Linked DNA regions of Anolis sagrei. The protein of the gene in region 1 purifies or fractionates together with the protein of each later gene. This does not show direct contact. Links are inferred from orthologs where the notes say so. Each region holds a gene or a part of one and is shown in the gene's direction. Other genes may lie near its edges.

Region 1 (7,989 bases):
CATCTCTTAGAATTGATATACCGTTTTGGCACCCTTGTATATGTAGAAAATGTATGTGCTCTCTTTAACATATTACATGTTTTACTTGATTAAAAGGCAGTATTTCGGCGTTTACAGCTTAGGTCCAGGTTATTTGAAGGATCATATCTCTCTCTATGAACATATCAGATACCTACGATCCTCTGGGGAGGGCCTTCTCTCTGTCCCACCACTTGCACAAGTACGTTTGGTGGGAACAATGGAAAGGGTCTTTTTGGTGGCTGCTCCCAGACTTTGGGACTCCCTCCCAAGAGAGACCAAGGATGGCCCCATCCCCGCTTGCAAGTTAAGCCATTACTTTGCCATCAGACTTTGGGGGGGGGGGGGTGATATGGTGAATTTTATATGTAATTTTAATTGTATTTCTTGTATTTGAACTGCATTTTTAATTTTATATCCACCCACAAATGTAGATTTGTTTTTAATTTTGGTATTTATTTTAAATATGTATTGCATGTGTTCATTTGTTAGCTGCCTTGAATCCCTTTGGGGAGAAATAATAATAATAATAATATTGTGTTGTTGAAGGCTTTCATGGCTGGAATCACTGGGTTGTTGTAGGTTTTTTGGGCTATATGGCCATGTTCTAGAAACAATATTTCTTACCCACCTCTTCCCATGGCTCGAGGCGGGTCATAGCACAGTCAAATACTATAAGAATTCTACAAACACACATTAAAATTTAGTTCCATAAAATATACAGATCAAAGTATTTCTGTAAAATACACATTAATAACATAGGACAGAGACCAAAACACACTACATGAGTTTAAAATTCATGCTTAAAGACTGGCTGGCCTGCCAGAAGAGATAGGTCTTTCCATGGTTTTTAAATTCTGACAGCTGTCAGAACTCTACTGGCAGGTTGTTCCACAGTCTTGGGGGCGGCTGATGAAAAAGTCATCTGGGTGACAGTTGCCAATCAGGTTCTGGCTGGTTGGAGCATATGCCCCTTAGAGGACTGTCAGTGTGTGGGGCGGATTGTACGGGAGAAGGTGATCTTTAGGCAACCTGGACTCAAACCATGCATGGTTTTAAAGGTCAAACCCAACATCTTGTACTTTGCCTGGAAATTAATTGGCAGTCCCCAAGTTGCAAACACAGTCTTTTGGGGCGAGTCTAACACCATCGAACTGGTTGACACATCTCCTTCCAGAGATTGGGACCTTTAATGGCAAGCACCTCTTTTTTTCTGGATTCAGTTTCAATTTGCTTTTCTTCATCCAACCCATTACCTCCTCCAGGAATTCATTCAGAGGAGACACAGTATCTTTAGCTGAGGCTGTTTTTGAAGACATGGAGAAATATATTTGGGTGTCATCATCATACTGATAACACCCTGTCCCATGCCTATGGATGATCTCTCCCAATGGGCTTCATGTAAATATTAAAGAGCAATGGGGTAGAATACCACCTTGTGGGACACCACATGACAGCTCCTTTTTTGAGAAGTTGCTATCTCCAAGCACCACCATTTGGAACCTGCCTGGCATCTGGGAGATGCCTCCAGATGTTCCAGAAGGATACTATGGTCAATGGTATCAAAGGCTGCTGAGAGGTCTAGAAGCACCAACAAGGACATAAACCCCTTGTCAGTGTTAAGACAGGTATCATCCACGAAGGTGACCATAGCAGTCTAAACTCCGTATGCTGCTCTGAAGCCAGTTTGAAATAGGTCAAGAAAGTGTGCATCGTCCAAGACTGCCTGGAATTGGAGGGCAACAGCCTTCTCAATCACCTTGCGCAAAAAAGGAAAGTTAGACACTGGTCTGTAGTTGTTAAAGTCCCTGGGATCTAGGAAGGGCTTTTTCAGCAACTGTTTAAATACCATTAATAATAATAGTAATAATAATACTACAGGAAAAACTCAGCCGTTATCAGGACCTCAAAATTGAATTGCTAAAGCTCTGGCATAAACCAGGACAGGTGGTCCCAGTAGTCATTGGCACACTGGCTGCCGTGCTAAAAATCCTCAGCCGGCATTTGGAAACAATAAACATTGACAAAATCACGACCTGTCAACTACAAAAGGCCACCTTACTTGGATCTGCGCGCATCATTCGAAAATACATCACACAGTCCTAGATGCTTGGGAAATGTTTGACTTGTGATTTTGTGATACGAAATCCAGCATATAGATCTCGTTTGCTGTGACATACTGTGCTTTTGTGTCAGTAAAATAATAATAAAAAAATGTTGATAGTCCAGCATTTGGAAGAATTATTGTTATGAAGGAACGTATAAACCTTCCCAGTGTTTTAAGTCAAGAGAGGCCTTGGTTCATTTGCCCATTAACTTTCCAGGGAAAGAGGATCCTGCAGCAGAAGAGAAAAAAGCTAAAAGTGATATGCAGCTGTTCAGAAAGTGAGAGAAGACTTCTCTGTACTGTTCCAGTATTCGGGTGGAGGCCAAAAGGGGGTACTAGACAGAGAAGAAAAATCCATTTTCAGCGGGGGCGGGGTTTGATGGAGGAAAATAATTTTCCCCGTTTTCCAGTTGTTCCTCTCACCTGTGTCACCCTCATGGAAACAACCTCGTTTATTAAATGGGAAGTGGGGAGGGGGAATAAGTAGCACAAACAGGGAAATGGTTTTCCTCCTTCAACTCCCCCCCCCCACCTTAAAATGGATGATCCTCCTCTGTCTAGCGCCTCCTTTTGGCCTCCACCAGGATAATGGCACAGTACCTATTGCCGAGGAGTGTTTAATGACGTGTTCTCAACACTGAAAGAAAAGCATGTTTTACAGAAAGGTCTTCAGAGCGAGGTGCTTTCCTTAAAATAACAAGTTAAACATGAGCCAACAATGTGATGTGGCTGCAAAAAAAGAACGAAAATGGGATTTTGGCCTGCATCAATAGAAGCATAGTGTCTAGATCTAGGGAAGTAATGCTAGCCCTCTATTCCACTTTGGTTAGACCACACCTGGAATATTGTGTCCAATTCTGGGCACCACAATTCAAGAGAGATATTGACAAGCTGGAATGTGTCCAGAGGAGGGCGACTAAAATGATCAAGGGTCTGGAGAACAAGCCCTATGAGGAGCGGCTTAAGGAGCTGGGCATGTTTAGCCTGAAGAAGACAAGGCTGAGAGGAGATATGATAGCCATGTATAAATATGTGAGAGGAAGCCACAGGGAGGAGGGAGCAAGCTTGTTTTCTGCTTCCCTAAAGACTAGGACGTGGAACAATGGCTTCAAACTACAAGAAAGGAGCTTTCATCTGAACATGAGGAAGAACTTCCTGACTGTGAGAGCTGTTCAGCAGTGGAACTCTCTGCCCCGAAGCGTGGTGGAGGCTCCTTCTGTGGAAGCTTTTAAACAGAGGCTGGATGGCCATCTGTCAGGGGTGATTTGAATGCAATATTCCTGCTTCTTGGCAGGGGGTTGGACTGGATGGCCCATGAGGTCTCTTCCAACTCTTTGATTCTATGATGGAGGAAAATAATTTCCCCGTTTTCCAGTTGTTCCTCTCACCTTGTGTCACTCTCATGGAAACAACTCTTGTTTATTAAATGGGAAGTGGGGAGGGGGAATAAGTAGCACAAACAGGGAAATGGTTTTCCTCCTTCAACTCCCCCCCCCCCACCTTAAAATGGATGATCCTCCTCTGTCTAGCGCCTCCTTTTGGCTTCCACCAGGATAATGGCACAGTACCTATGGCAGAGGAGTGTTTAATGACGTTTTTTCAACACTGAAAGAAAAGCATGTTTTACAGAAAGGTCTTCACGGCGAGGTGCTTTCCTTAAAACAACATTATGATACAGCAAACAGGCAAGCATCCTCAGAGGTTGTGAGGTCTCCTCAGAGGTTGTGAAGTGTAAGTAGACCTCACAAACTGAGGATGCTTGCCATAGATGCAGGCAAAACATCAGGAGAGAATGCTTCTAGAACAGTGGTTCTTAACCTGTGGGTCCCCAGATGTTTTGGCCTTCAACTCCCAGAAATCCTAACACAGTGTTTCTCAACCTTCCTAATGCTGCGACCCCTTAATACTGTTCCCTATGTTGTGGTGACCCCCAACCATAACATTATTCTTGTGAATTGTAATGTAAATATCTGATATGCAGGATGTATTTTCATTCACTGGACCAAATTTGGCACAAATACCCAATACACCCAAATTGGAGTACTGGTGGGGTTTGGGGGGGGGGGGGGTTGAATTTGTCATTTGGGAGTTGTAGTCGCTGGGATTTATAGTTAACATTCAATTAAAGAGCATTTGGAATTCCACCAAAGATGGAATTGAACCAAACTTGGCACACAGAACTCCCATTGCCAACAGAAAATACTGGATTGGTGGGCATTGACGTTGAGTTTTATAGTTGTAGTTTGCCTACACCCAGAGAGCACTGTGGCCTCAACCAATGGTAGATCTGGACCAAACTTGGCAGAAATGCTCAATATGCCGAAATGTGAACACTGGTGGAGTTTGGAGAAAATAGGCCTTGGCATTTGGGAGTTGTAGTTGCTGGGATTTATAGTTCACCTACAATCAAAGAGCATTCTGTACCCCACCAACGATACAATTGGGCCAGACTTCCCACACAGAACCCTCATGACCAAAAGCAAATACTGCGTTTTCAGATGGTCTTTGGCGACCCCTCTGACTCCTCCTTGCGCCCCCCCCCCCGGGTTCCCGACCCCCAGGTTGAGAAACACTGTCCTAACAGGTGATAAATTGGCTGGGATTTCTGGGAGTTGTAGGCCAAAACACCTGAAGACCCACAGGTTGAGAACATGGCCACATAGCCCGAAACACCTCCAAAACCCAGTGATTCCAGCCATGAAAGCCTTTGACAACATTCTCTGAGCCTGTGAAATGTTTTGCTGCCGCCCCGCGCGTGGAGGAACCGGAAGTCTGAGGGCGGAACCACGGCGACCTTAACTGGACGAGCTTGAGCCTTCAACGTCTCCTCGGAAGCGCCTGTTTGCGGAGCTTCCGGCAGGAGGGCGGCGCAGGCCAAGTCTCGCGAGGTTTGGTGGCCGACGCTGTGAGGAAGGCGCAATCAGAACCCTCCAGCTTCGAGAGCGGCCGGTGCCGTCTTTGCTTCCGCGCAGGCGCAGTCGCGGTTAGGTCTCGCTTTCGGGGTCTTCTGTGTGGCGAGGGAGCGACGGAGAAGGGCCTCAGGGCGGGCACTTGGCGTCTCCCGCGCGGACAGGAAGGAAGGAGAGGCGGCGAAGTGTTGTGCGCTGAGGAGAGGCGGAGAGGTTCTCTTCAGGAAGACAGGCCGCACTCGGGCCCAGCCGGGACAGGAAGCCAAGGCCGGCGGCGGAAGAGGAAGACTCGCCTGACGAGGAAGAGGAAGATGGCTGCCTCCTCCTCCTCTTCTAATTCTTCTTGGTGGGCGCCTTGACGGAGCCCCGTTCCGCCCCGATGCCGAGCACGTCGGAGTCGCCGCCGGAGGCGAAGAAGCGGGCGCACCACCGGCGGCGGAAGCGCTACCCGTCGGGCCCTCTGCGGCCTCCGTCGCCGCTGCCGCTGCCCCTGCCTCCTCCTCCGGCTCCGGCGCCTCCTTCCTCGCTGCTGTTTCCGCTGCTGCAGCCCTCCTCGCTCCTGCAGCCGCCGCTGCCGCCGCAGTCCCTGCTCTTCCTGGCGGCCACCGGCTGCGGCGCCGGGGAAGGCGGCGAGCGGAAGCGCCCGCGGGGGAAGCGGCGCTCGGGATCCCGGCACAAGCGGCGGCGGGGCAGGCTAGGCGGCACCGGGACGGGGAGCGGGCTGCGGGGCGGGGCCGGGCTGGGAACGCTGCTCGAGGCCGGGCCCAAGGAGGAGTACGACGACGTCAGCTCCCAATCCGAGGGCGGAGGGGGGACGGCAGGGACAGGGGGGGAGCGGGGCGCCCGCCGCAGGGAGACCCCCAGCAGGAGTGGGGCCAGGCGCTCTCGGGAGCGGCAGAGGGAGCACCGCCGCCGGGGGGAGGACAAGGACAGGGACAGGGGGGGAGGAGGAGGAGGAGAAGGGGCCAGCGAGCCGCCCGCGCCTTCCTCTTCCTCCTCCTCCTCCAAGCCCCGCAGCCGCCACAACCACGGAGACGCGCCCCGGAGCGGGGGCGGCGGCGGCAGCGACGGCCGCAGGAAGAGCTCGGCTGCCTCACCCAGCGGCAACAGCAGCAGCAGCAGGAAGGAGCGGGAAGGCAAGGCCCGCCGGTCCAAAGCCTACAAGGAGCCGCCCAAGGCCTACCGGGAGGACAAGGCCGAGCCCCGGGCCTACAGGCGCAGCCCCAGCCGAGAAGGCAGCCCCCACCGGGCCTCGCAGCGACAGCGCAGCCGCTGCAAGTCGCCCGCCAGCCCGCGCGCCTCCGTCAGCCCCTACCGGCGCCGCTCCCCCAGCTACAGCCGGCACAGCTCCGGAGGGGGAGGGGGAGGAGGCGGCGGCGGGGATGGCTCTCCCGGGCACTACAGCTCCTGGCGACGCTCCCGCAGCCCCTACAGCCCCGCCATCCGGTAAGCAGAGCCGCCGCGGGGCCCTTTTTGTCGCTGGGTGGGCAAACCACAGATTATTTATTGCAGTGTTTCTCAACCTGTGGCTCCCCAGATGCTTTGGCCTTCAACTCCCAGAAATCCTAACAGCTGGTAAACTGGCTGGGATTTCTGGGAGTTGTAGGCCAAAAACATCTGGGGACCCAAGGTTGAGAACCACTGCAGTTGATCAGGACATAGAAGCTGATGGTTGCTCTACACCAGTAGGTCTCAACCTGTGTGTTCCCAGGTGTTTTGACCTACAACTCCTAGAAATCCCAACCAGTTTACCATCTGTTGGGATTTCTGGGAGTTGAAGGCCAAAACATCTGAGGACTTACAGGTTGGGAACCACTGTTGTAAACCTTAATACAGTGGTTCTCAACCTGGGGTCCCCAGATGTTTTTGGCCTTCAACTCCCAGAAATCCTAACAGCTGGTAAAGTGGCTGGGATTTCTGGGAGTTGTAGGCCAAAAACATCTGGGGACCCCAGGTTGAGAACCACTGTTCTAGAGTCATTCTCTCCGGACGTTTCTCCTGCACCTATGGCAAGCATCCTTAGAGGTAGCACTACCTCTGGCGAAATGTCAGGAGAGAGTGCCTCTAGAGCAGTGGTTCTCAACTTGGGGTCCCCAGATGTTTTTGGCCTATAACTCCCAGAAATCTCAGCCAGTTTACCAGCTGTTAGGATTTCTGGGAGTTGAAGGCCAAAAACATCTGGGGACCCCAGGTTGAGAACCTCTGCTCTAGAACATGGCCATATAGTCCAAAAAACCCTACAACTACCCAGTGATTCCGGCCATGAAAGCCTTCGACAATACATTCAATTTTTTTCTGCCTTGATATTCTGGAATATAGTGCTGTGCAGAAGGGTCTTCAGATAATTCAATTCAAAGCAGATATTGTGGGATTTTCTGTATTGATATTTTGAGATATAGGGCTGTGAGGAAGGGTCCTGAGTGTGGCCTCAGACAACTCAGGGCCCTTCCAGACAGCCCTATATCCCCCAATATCAAAGCAGGAAATCCCACATTATCTTAGTATGGACTCAGATAACCCAGTTCAAAGCAGATATTGTGGGATTTTCTGCCTTGATATTCTGGGATATAGACTTGTGTGGAAGGGCCTTGGGTTCTTACCTACAAAGCTCTGAACGGTTTGGGACCTGCCTACCTGCGTGACCGCATTTCTGTGTACGAACACACATGATCTCTCCGATCATCTGGAGAGGCCCTACTCGCGCTCCACACAAGCCTATATCCACACAAGGCCCTTCCACACAAGTCTATATCCCAGAATATATCAAGGCAGAAAAACCCACAATATCTGCTTTGAACTGGGTTATCTGCATTCATACTCAGATAATGTGGGATTTCCTGCTTTGATATTGGGGGATATAGGGCTGTCTGGAAGGGCCCTGAGTTGTCTGAGGCCACACTCAGGACCCTTCCTCACAGCCCTATATCTCAAAATATCAATACAGAAAATCCCACA
Region 2 (7,964 bases), on another chromosome or scaffold:
GTTTTGCCATCCTGTGAGAGACCTCTCTCATGTCCCCACATGAGAAGATGGAGTTGACAGACAGGAGCTCATCCTGCTCCCCAGATTCGAACCGCTGACCTTTTGGTCAGTAGTCCGGACGGCACAAGAGTTTGACCCATTGCACCACTGGGGGCACCATTAAGAATTCATAGCCAATGAGGAAGGTTTTGCAACACTGCAGATGTTCTGTGTCTACCGTTACAGAAGAAAATGGATTTATTCAGTGGTTCTCCCTCCCTGCTTTCAAAAAACAGCTTTTTTTTGTCGTGTCAGGAGCGACTTGAGAAATTGCAAGTCGCTTCTGGTGTGAGAGAATTGGCCGTCTGCAAGGACGTTACCCAGGGGACGCCCGGATGATTTGATGTTTTTATCATCCTTGTGGGAGGCTTTTCTCATGTCCCCGCATGAGGAGCTGGAGTTGATAGAGGGAGCTCATCCGCCTCTCCCCAGATTCGAACCTGCGACCTGTCGGTCTTCAGTCCTGCCGACACAGGGGTTTAACCGACTGCACCACAAGGGGCTCCAAAAAAACAGCCGAAGACATACCTTTGCTCACTGGCTTACAAGGAGGAGGAATAGTAGTTGGTAATACTACCATTATACCTCTGATAAATAGTTGCCATCCATATCTGTGCCCTGCTCACCCCACTAGCTCAATAAATATCTTGAGCAATGAATAATCGATTTGTCCCAAAGAAATGGGAAATTATTGTTTCCATTTGATGTTTTGTCCTATGTCTGCTGTAACAGGCTGTGCATTTTATTTAATTTTAGTTTGTTAAGTTATAATTTGTATTTATATGTTGGGTTGTATAAATTTTGTTAATATGGATGTATTGTCGTATTCAGGTATTGAAGGTTTGACTTTTATGTTTGGAATCCACCCTGAGTCCCTTTGGGGATGTAGAACGGAATATAAATAAAGTTTTTTTATTATTATTATTCTGAACCTGTAGGTCCCCAGCTGTTTTGGCCTTCAACTCCCAGAATGACAAATGCAAGATACGCCACTTTGGCAGGAAAAAAGAAATGCAAAGATACAGAATGGGGGACGCCTGGCTTGAGAGCAGTACATGTGAAAAAGATCTTGGAGTCCTCGTGAACAACAAGTTAAACATGAGCCAACAATGTGATGTCGCGGCAAAAAAAAGCCAATGGGATTTTGGCCTGCATCAATAGGAGCATAGTATCTAGATCTAGGGAAGTCATGCTACCCCTCTATTCCGCTTTGGTTAGACCACACCTGGAATATATTGTCCAATTCTGGGCACCACAATTCAAGAGAGATATTGACAAGCTGGAATGTGTCCAGGGGAGGGCGACTCAAATGATCAAGGGTCTGGAGAACAAGCCCTATGAGGAGCGGCTTAAGGAGCTGGGCATGTTTAGCCTGAAGAAGAGAAGGCTGAGAGGGGATATGATAGCCATGTATAAATATGTGGGAGGAAGCCACAGGGAGGAGGGAGCAAGCTTGTTTTCTGCTTCCTTGGAGACTAGGATGCAATGGAACAATGGCTTCAAACTACAAGAGAGGAGATTCCACCTAAACATGAGGAAGAACTTCCTGACTGTGAGAGCCGTTCAGCAGTGGAACTCTCTGCCCCGGAGTGTGGTGGAGGCTCCTTCTTTGGAAGCTTTTAAACAGAGGCTGGATGGCCATCTGTCAGGGGTGATTTGAATGCAATATTCCTGCTTCTTGGCAGGGGGCTGGACTGGATGGCCCATGAGGTCTCTTCCAACTCTTTGATTGTATGATTATATGACTGTGAGAGCCGTTCAGCAGTGGAACTCTCTGCCCCGGAGTGTGGTGGAGGCTCCTTCTTTGGAGGCTTTTAAACAGAGGCTGGATGGCCATCTGTCAGGGGTGATTTGAATGCAATATTCCTGCTTCTTGGCAGGGGGTTGGACTGGATGGCCCATGAGGTCTCTTCCAACTCTTTGATTCTATGATTCTCTGAAATCCTAACAGCTGGCAAACTGGCTGAGGTTTCTGGGAGTTGTAGGCCAGAACTGGGGACTCACAGGTTGAGAACCACTGAGGTATGCGTATGTGTATGTATGTATGTGCTCATATAAACAGCTAATTTGTATCTAATGATGAGGAATACAGGAATTGTAGCCCAGCATTTGGAGGGCCACACAAAATGACATTGGTGGGCTGGATCCGGCCCACGGGCCATGAATCTGACACATGACCAGTCCAAACTCCATTATATGGCAGTGTAGACCCAGCTTTAGAAAAGTGTAACACAAAATGTCGCGTAACGGACAGGTCTTTCGCAAACTTCATGACTTAATAAGTCCCTGTATTCATGTATTGTCAAAGGCTTTCATGGCCGGAATCAGTGGGTTGTTGTAGGTTTTTTCGGGCTACATGGCCATGTTCTAGAGCAGTAGTTCTCAACCTGGGGGTCGGGATCCCTGAGGGGGTCGCCGGGGGATGTGAGAGGGGTCGTCAAAGACCATCAGAAAACACAGTATTTTATGTTTATCATGGGGGTTCTGTGTAGGAAGTTTGGCCCAATTTGATTGTTGGTGGGGTTCAGAATGCTCTTTGATTGTAGGTGAACTATAAATCCCAGCAACTACAACTCCCAAATGTCAAGTCTATTTTCTTCAAACTCCACCAGTGTTCACATTAGGGCATATTGACTTTTCACAACAAGTTTAGTCCTGATCCATTCTTGTTTGAGTCCACAGTGCTCTCTGGATATAGGTGAACTACAACTCCCAAAGTCAAGGTCAATGCCCACCAAACCCTTCCAGTGTTTTCTGTTGGCCATGGGAGTTTTGTGTTCCAGGTTTGGTTCAATTTCATCATTGGTGGAGTTCAGACTGTAGGTGAATTATAAATCCCAACAACTCGAACTCCCAAATAACAAAATCAATCAATCCCCCCTCCTCCCAATCCCACTACTATTCAAATTTGGGCATATCAGGTATTTGTGCCAAATTTGATCCAGTGAAGATACGTCCTGCTTATCAGATAATTGCAGTACCATTCATAACAGGAGCAAAATTACAGTTATGAAGTAGTAAAATAATGTTATGGTTGGGGGTCACCACAACATGAGGAACTGGATTAAGGGGTTGCGGCATTAGGAAGGTTGAGAAACACTGTTCTAGAGGCATTCTCTCCTGACATACATTGCCATAGATTCAGGCAAAACATCAGGAGAAAATGCCTCTAGAACACTGGTTCTCAACCTGGGGTCCCTAGATGTTTTTGGCCTTCAACTCCCAGAAACCCTAACAGCTGGTAAACTGTACTGTCGAAGGCTTTCATGGCTGGAATCACTAGGTTCTTGTGGGTTTTTTCGGGCTATAGAGCCATGTTCTAGAGGCATTTCTCCTGACGTTTCGCCTGCATCCTTGGCAAGCATCCTCAGAGGTAGTGAGGTCTGTTAGGGTTTCTGGGAGTTGAAGGCCAAAAACATGTGGGGAATCACTAGGTTCTTGTGGGTTTTTTCGGGGTATAGAGCCATGTTCTAGAGGCATTTCAACTGACGTTTCGCCTGCATCTATGGCAAGCACCCTCAGAGGTAGTGAGGTCTGTTAGGGTTTCTGGGAGTTGAAGGCCAAAAACATCTGGGGACCTCACTATCTCTGAGGATGCTTGCCATAGATGCAGGCGAAACGTCAGGAGAAATGCCTCTAGAACATGGCTCTATAGCCCGAAAAAACCCACAAGAACCTAGCTGGTAAACTGGCTGGGATTTCTGGGAGTTGTAGGCCAAAAACATCTGGGGACCCCAGGTTGAGAACCACTGCTCTAGAACATGGCCATATTGCCCGAAAAAACCTACAATAACCCAAGTCCCTGTATTATAGGAGAAAGATGAGAGTTTAAGTCAACAAATGAATCATTCTTTCATGAAATCATTATCTTACACATGTCAAGCCACGTTGTGATACAAAGGGTAAATTTCTATAATATATCTTTTGAGCCTGACTTTTGCAAGGCTTGTAAATTGGAGGGAAAAGGGGGCGGGAGGCAGGCCTTGAGTGATGAGAGTTCAGGGAAGAGGCTGTGATTCCAAATGAACACGGAGTCGCGTGTCAAAGAAGTCTCGTGTGAACGGAGAGGGCGGGAATGAATGATGGGGTTCCTGAGGCCCTCACAAAACGCGTGTTTCCGTGAGGTAGAGGCCGAGGCCCTGTTGCCACTTCCTGAGGTGACATCCAGGAGCGTGCGGAGCGAGGCAAGGGGAGACAAGGGGGGCCTTCCCGCCGTTACCTTCTCTTTCGGGCGACGACCCCTCGAATCCTCTCACCGGGCGGCGAAGGGGAGAGGCGGCGGCGCGGGCGGCCGCGGAGCCAACCACAGCCCCACCACGCGCATGCGTACAAGCACGCCGTCCCACCCTCCCTCACTCTCTCACTCTGTCGTCCCTACTGGGCACCCGCGCATGCTCTGGCCCTCCTCTAGGCCCGTCTCCCAAGCGCGAACGCCCAGGCTCCCTTCGTCGCTGGGATTGGTTCCCTCTTCTGCCACTCGAAACGCTGGCCAATCCGATCTCAGTGCTTAATTTCTTTCCCCCTCCCTCCCATCGTTCCGGAGGTGGGAAGCTGTTGAGCGAGCAGCAATCACAGAGCCACCGTGCGCATGCGTCTATTCACGCGCACGCCTTCCCTCACTCCCTCTTGAAGCTGCGATTGGTTCACATTGATGGCACTCGGGACGGATGGCCAATCCGAGCTCATTTTTCCTCCTATCGCAAGGAGAGGCGGGGCGTTTGGGTGGAGCGGAAGAGCGTGCGCTATCCACAGTGCCACCGTGCGCATGCGTACATACACGCGCATGCCTTCCCTCTCTCACTCCGTCGGTCTTACAGGGTCTGTCTATGGCTTCTATTGGTTCCCACTTTTATCACTCTGGTTAATTGTCCAATCCGGTCCCAATGCCTGTTCTTTTTCCTCCAATCGCATACAGGGGCGGGACATGTGGAAAGAAGGTAAGACAAGTTAACGCCACTGTGCGCATGTGTGGAAATACTCGCCCTCCCAGTCCTCCTCCTGTAAGCCTGCTTCCAAGTTGGCTTCTATCTCGGTTGCGATTGGTTCCCAGTAACAGCACTCAGGACTTACTGACCAATCCGGTCCATGCGCAAGGCGTGTGAGAAAAAGGGAAGAACCAATAAAAGTCTTAGAGAAGGAGGGAGGGACGAGAATCGCATTCTCATTGGTGGGGAGTCATATTGATCCGCCTACTTTGTTTTTTTCTCTCCTCGCGGCGCTGATTGGCTTGCAAGCGTTATTGACATCGCGGAGACAAGCAGCCCTTTTGACGCATGCGCATGAAAGAGGAGGCGGGGTAAAGCGTCCACAGGGAGAATAGTGAGGCAATACGCAGCCTCTCGCGAGCCGACGGAATGACGTCAGCAAAGGCTTTGCTCAGAGTCTTCCAAGATGGCTCCGCGCTGGCGTGGTTGAGGCTTCATTGCTCGCGCGAGTTCGGTGAGTCTCTCCAGCTTCTGAGCGAGTGGGTGACTGAACGAACACCTGTGAGGGAGAAACAATGAGGCTGTTAGGAATTGTGGGAGTTGAAGTCCAAAACACCTGGAGGGCCCAAGTTTGCCCATGCCTGGTATATACATTCATTGGATAGCATAGCTCCTACCACAGTGGTGTTTGTTTTGCTGTCTGGACCCCTGTTCAGAAGATTTAACTACCTGGAGAAACTAGGAAAGCCCCTACCTACCCTAGAAACCTTTAAAAAGAACCTTAAAACCTGATTCTTCCGCTGCGCCTTTGGTGAGTAGGTAGAACGCCTCATCCCTCTCTGAAACTTTATCCCATTTATATCTTACCTGTTTCATACCCAGCATTATTATTTTTAAATTGTAATTATTACAATTACATAGGTTTTAAACGTTCTTGTGATACTCACCGTCTGGTGGGGACGAGGGACAGGGCCTTCTCGGTGGTGGCACCTCGGCTCTGGAACTTTCTCCCATTGGTGATTAGAACTGCCCATTATTATTATTATTTATTAAATTTTATTATTACAATGATAAAAAAGACAGACAGAACAAAGCAAAACATAGCTATAGACATACATAGACACATCCAAAGACCTAACTAACTAACATCGACAAACTAACACAACATACTAACTACAAGTATATTAAAATGAGGGTGCCCGCTACGGCAGCAGACCTCCACTTCTCTCTTCTACGGTATTTCAGTGACAATATCCGTTCTTCTATATTTACATAACTTTTAATTTTCTCCTTCTTCCTATCATGCCTTATCAGTCTACTATTTCATCTTTAACAATATGTAGATATTTATTCGTATTTACAAAGACAAAAAGAGGAGAAAAAATAGATCGTTATATTCTCCATTATCTATATGTCATATGTTCTTGTTCCTCAATTCTCTTGAACGATCTATTTCTTATATTTTTACCCATTCTTCAATTTCTTCATACTATTATTATTATTATTATTATTAACTTTATTTGTACCCCTCTAGCATCTCCCGAAGGACTCGATGCGGCTCACAAAGGCCAAGGCCTCAAAACACAACATAACAATACAACACCTAAAGCAAATTAAAAACAATTAAAGCAATATTAAACAACAAGCAATAAACAATACATCGAGACACTATAAAACTGTGCCGGGCCAGAGTAATGGGTACAGGATTAAAAGTGCTGATGTGACAGGTGATATGTAAGGATTCTAGGGTAAGTGCAGTGTGAGGTGTGCAGCAATCTTAGTTCTAATAAAGTGCTTCTGGGACTTGTTATTGGAGGTTCCTATTCTGGAAAGGCACATCAGAACAGCCAGGTCTTCAAGTTCTTTCTAAAGACTGCCAATGTAGGGGCCTGTCTAAGATCTTTGGAGAGGGTGTTCCAGAGTCGGGGGCCGCCACCACCCTCCTGACCTTTAGAAAGTGGGTGAAAACCTGGCTCTGGAATTTGGCATTTGATGAGTGAGGCAATAACTCTTGACCACACGGACGGATGGGGATGAATAGTGATTTTATGTTAACGATTTGGCCTTATATAATTATATGATATGTGTTTATATTAGTGTATTATTGGATGTGATGTTTTTAAACTATTGTGTATGAATTCCTTTGTTGTAAACCGGCCTGAGTCCCTCGCTGGAGGTGAGAAGACTGGTATATAAAATTTCTAAATAAATAAATAAATGTATTACTGTTAATGTTCATTGCTTTTTTGTTTATGACATTTATTTTAACTATTTTGTATTGCTTGTTTGTTCTTGCTTTTTTATTGATGTGCTGTGGGCTCAGCCTCATGTAAGCCGCACCGAGTCCCTTGGGGTGATGGTAGCGGGGTATAAATAAAGTTTTATTATATTATTATTATAACCTCACGCTATTGCTTAGCCTCAACGTTCTGTCATTGGAGTATACGTCCGTCCGTCCCTTTATGGAAAGCTTGATTCCACAAAACCCACTCTAATGAGGCCTCCTCCACAAATAACCTGCTTCTCCTTTATCTCACCTGAGTTTTAAATTAGTTTTTCTTTTAATTATTACATTATTACATTGTCACTGTGATTGTGCTTATTGTAATTTTATATTGTTATGTATTCATATATTTTATGTAATTCTGATGTTGTTTATTGTTTTCGGTTTGCGTTTTCGGTTTTACTCTGTTGTAATTTATTGTTTTGGGCGTGGCCTCATGTAAGCCACCCCGAGTCCCCACTGGGGAGATGGTGGCAGGGTATAAATAAAGATTATTATTATTATTATTATTATTATTATTTCACCTCACTTTGTGTCCCTTTGAGAATTGGGTTTAGGAAAATGTGGCTTGTTGAGGAAACAAGGATTGGTGATAAAGCTTCAGTTGAGACACCTTTTCCCCGTGATAATACAGGGTGAGGCAGCATAACTTCCTTTTTTCAAAACTTATTAAAACCCAATTTTTATTTTTATTTTTTTATAATATAGGTGCATAC

What was found. The genes of interacting proteins can lie anywhere in the genome.
Region 2: the proteins of CDK13 (region 1) and CCNK purify together in Homo sapiens (affinity purification with mass spectrometry; 4 studies listed by BioGRID and IntAct, counting the BioPlex papers as one, with this or other methods). This does not show direct contact. The link is inferred for Anolis sagrei from reciprocal best matches to the Homo sapiens genes CDK13 and CCNK.

The regions. Positions count from the first base shown.
Region 1 is NC_090026.1:68,619,477-68,627,465, reverse strand, and holds the start of CDK13 (cyclin-dependent kinase 13), read left to right. Parts: upstream 1-4,978; 5' UTR 4,979-5,413; coding exon 5,414-6,480; intron 6,481-7,989. UniProt on the Homo sapiens protein: Cyclin-dependent kinase which displays CTD kinase activity and is required for RNA splicing.
Region 2 is NC_090021.1:321,310,812-321,318,775, forward strand, and holds the start of CCNK (cyclin-K), read left to right. Parts: upstream 1-4,954; 5' UTR 4,955-4,976; intron 4,977-5,371; exon of another isoform or gene 5,372-5,503; intron 5,504-7,964. Other genes in the region: SETD3 (actin-histidine N-methyltransferase), read right to left, coding at 4,404-4,432. UniProt on the Homo sapiens protein: Regulatory subunit of cyclin-dependent kinases that mediates activation of target kinases.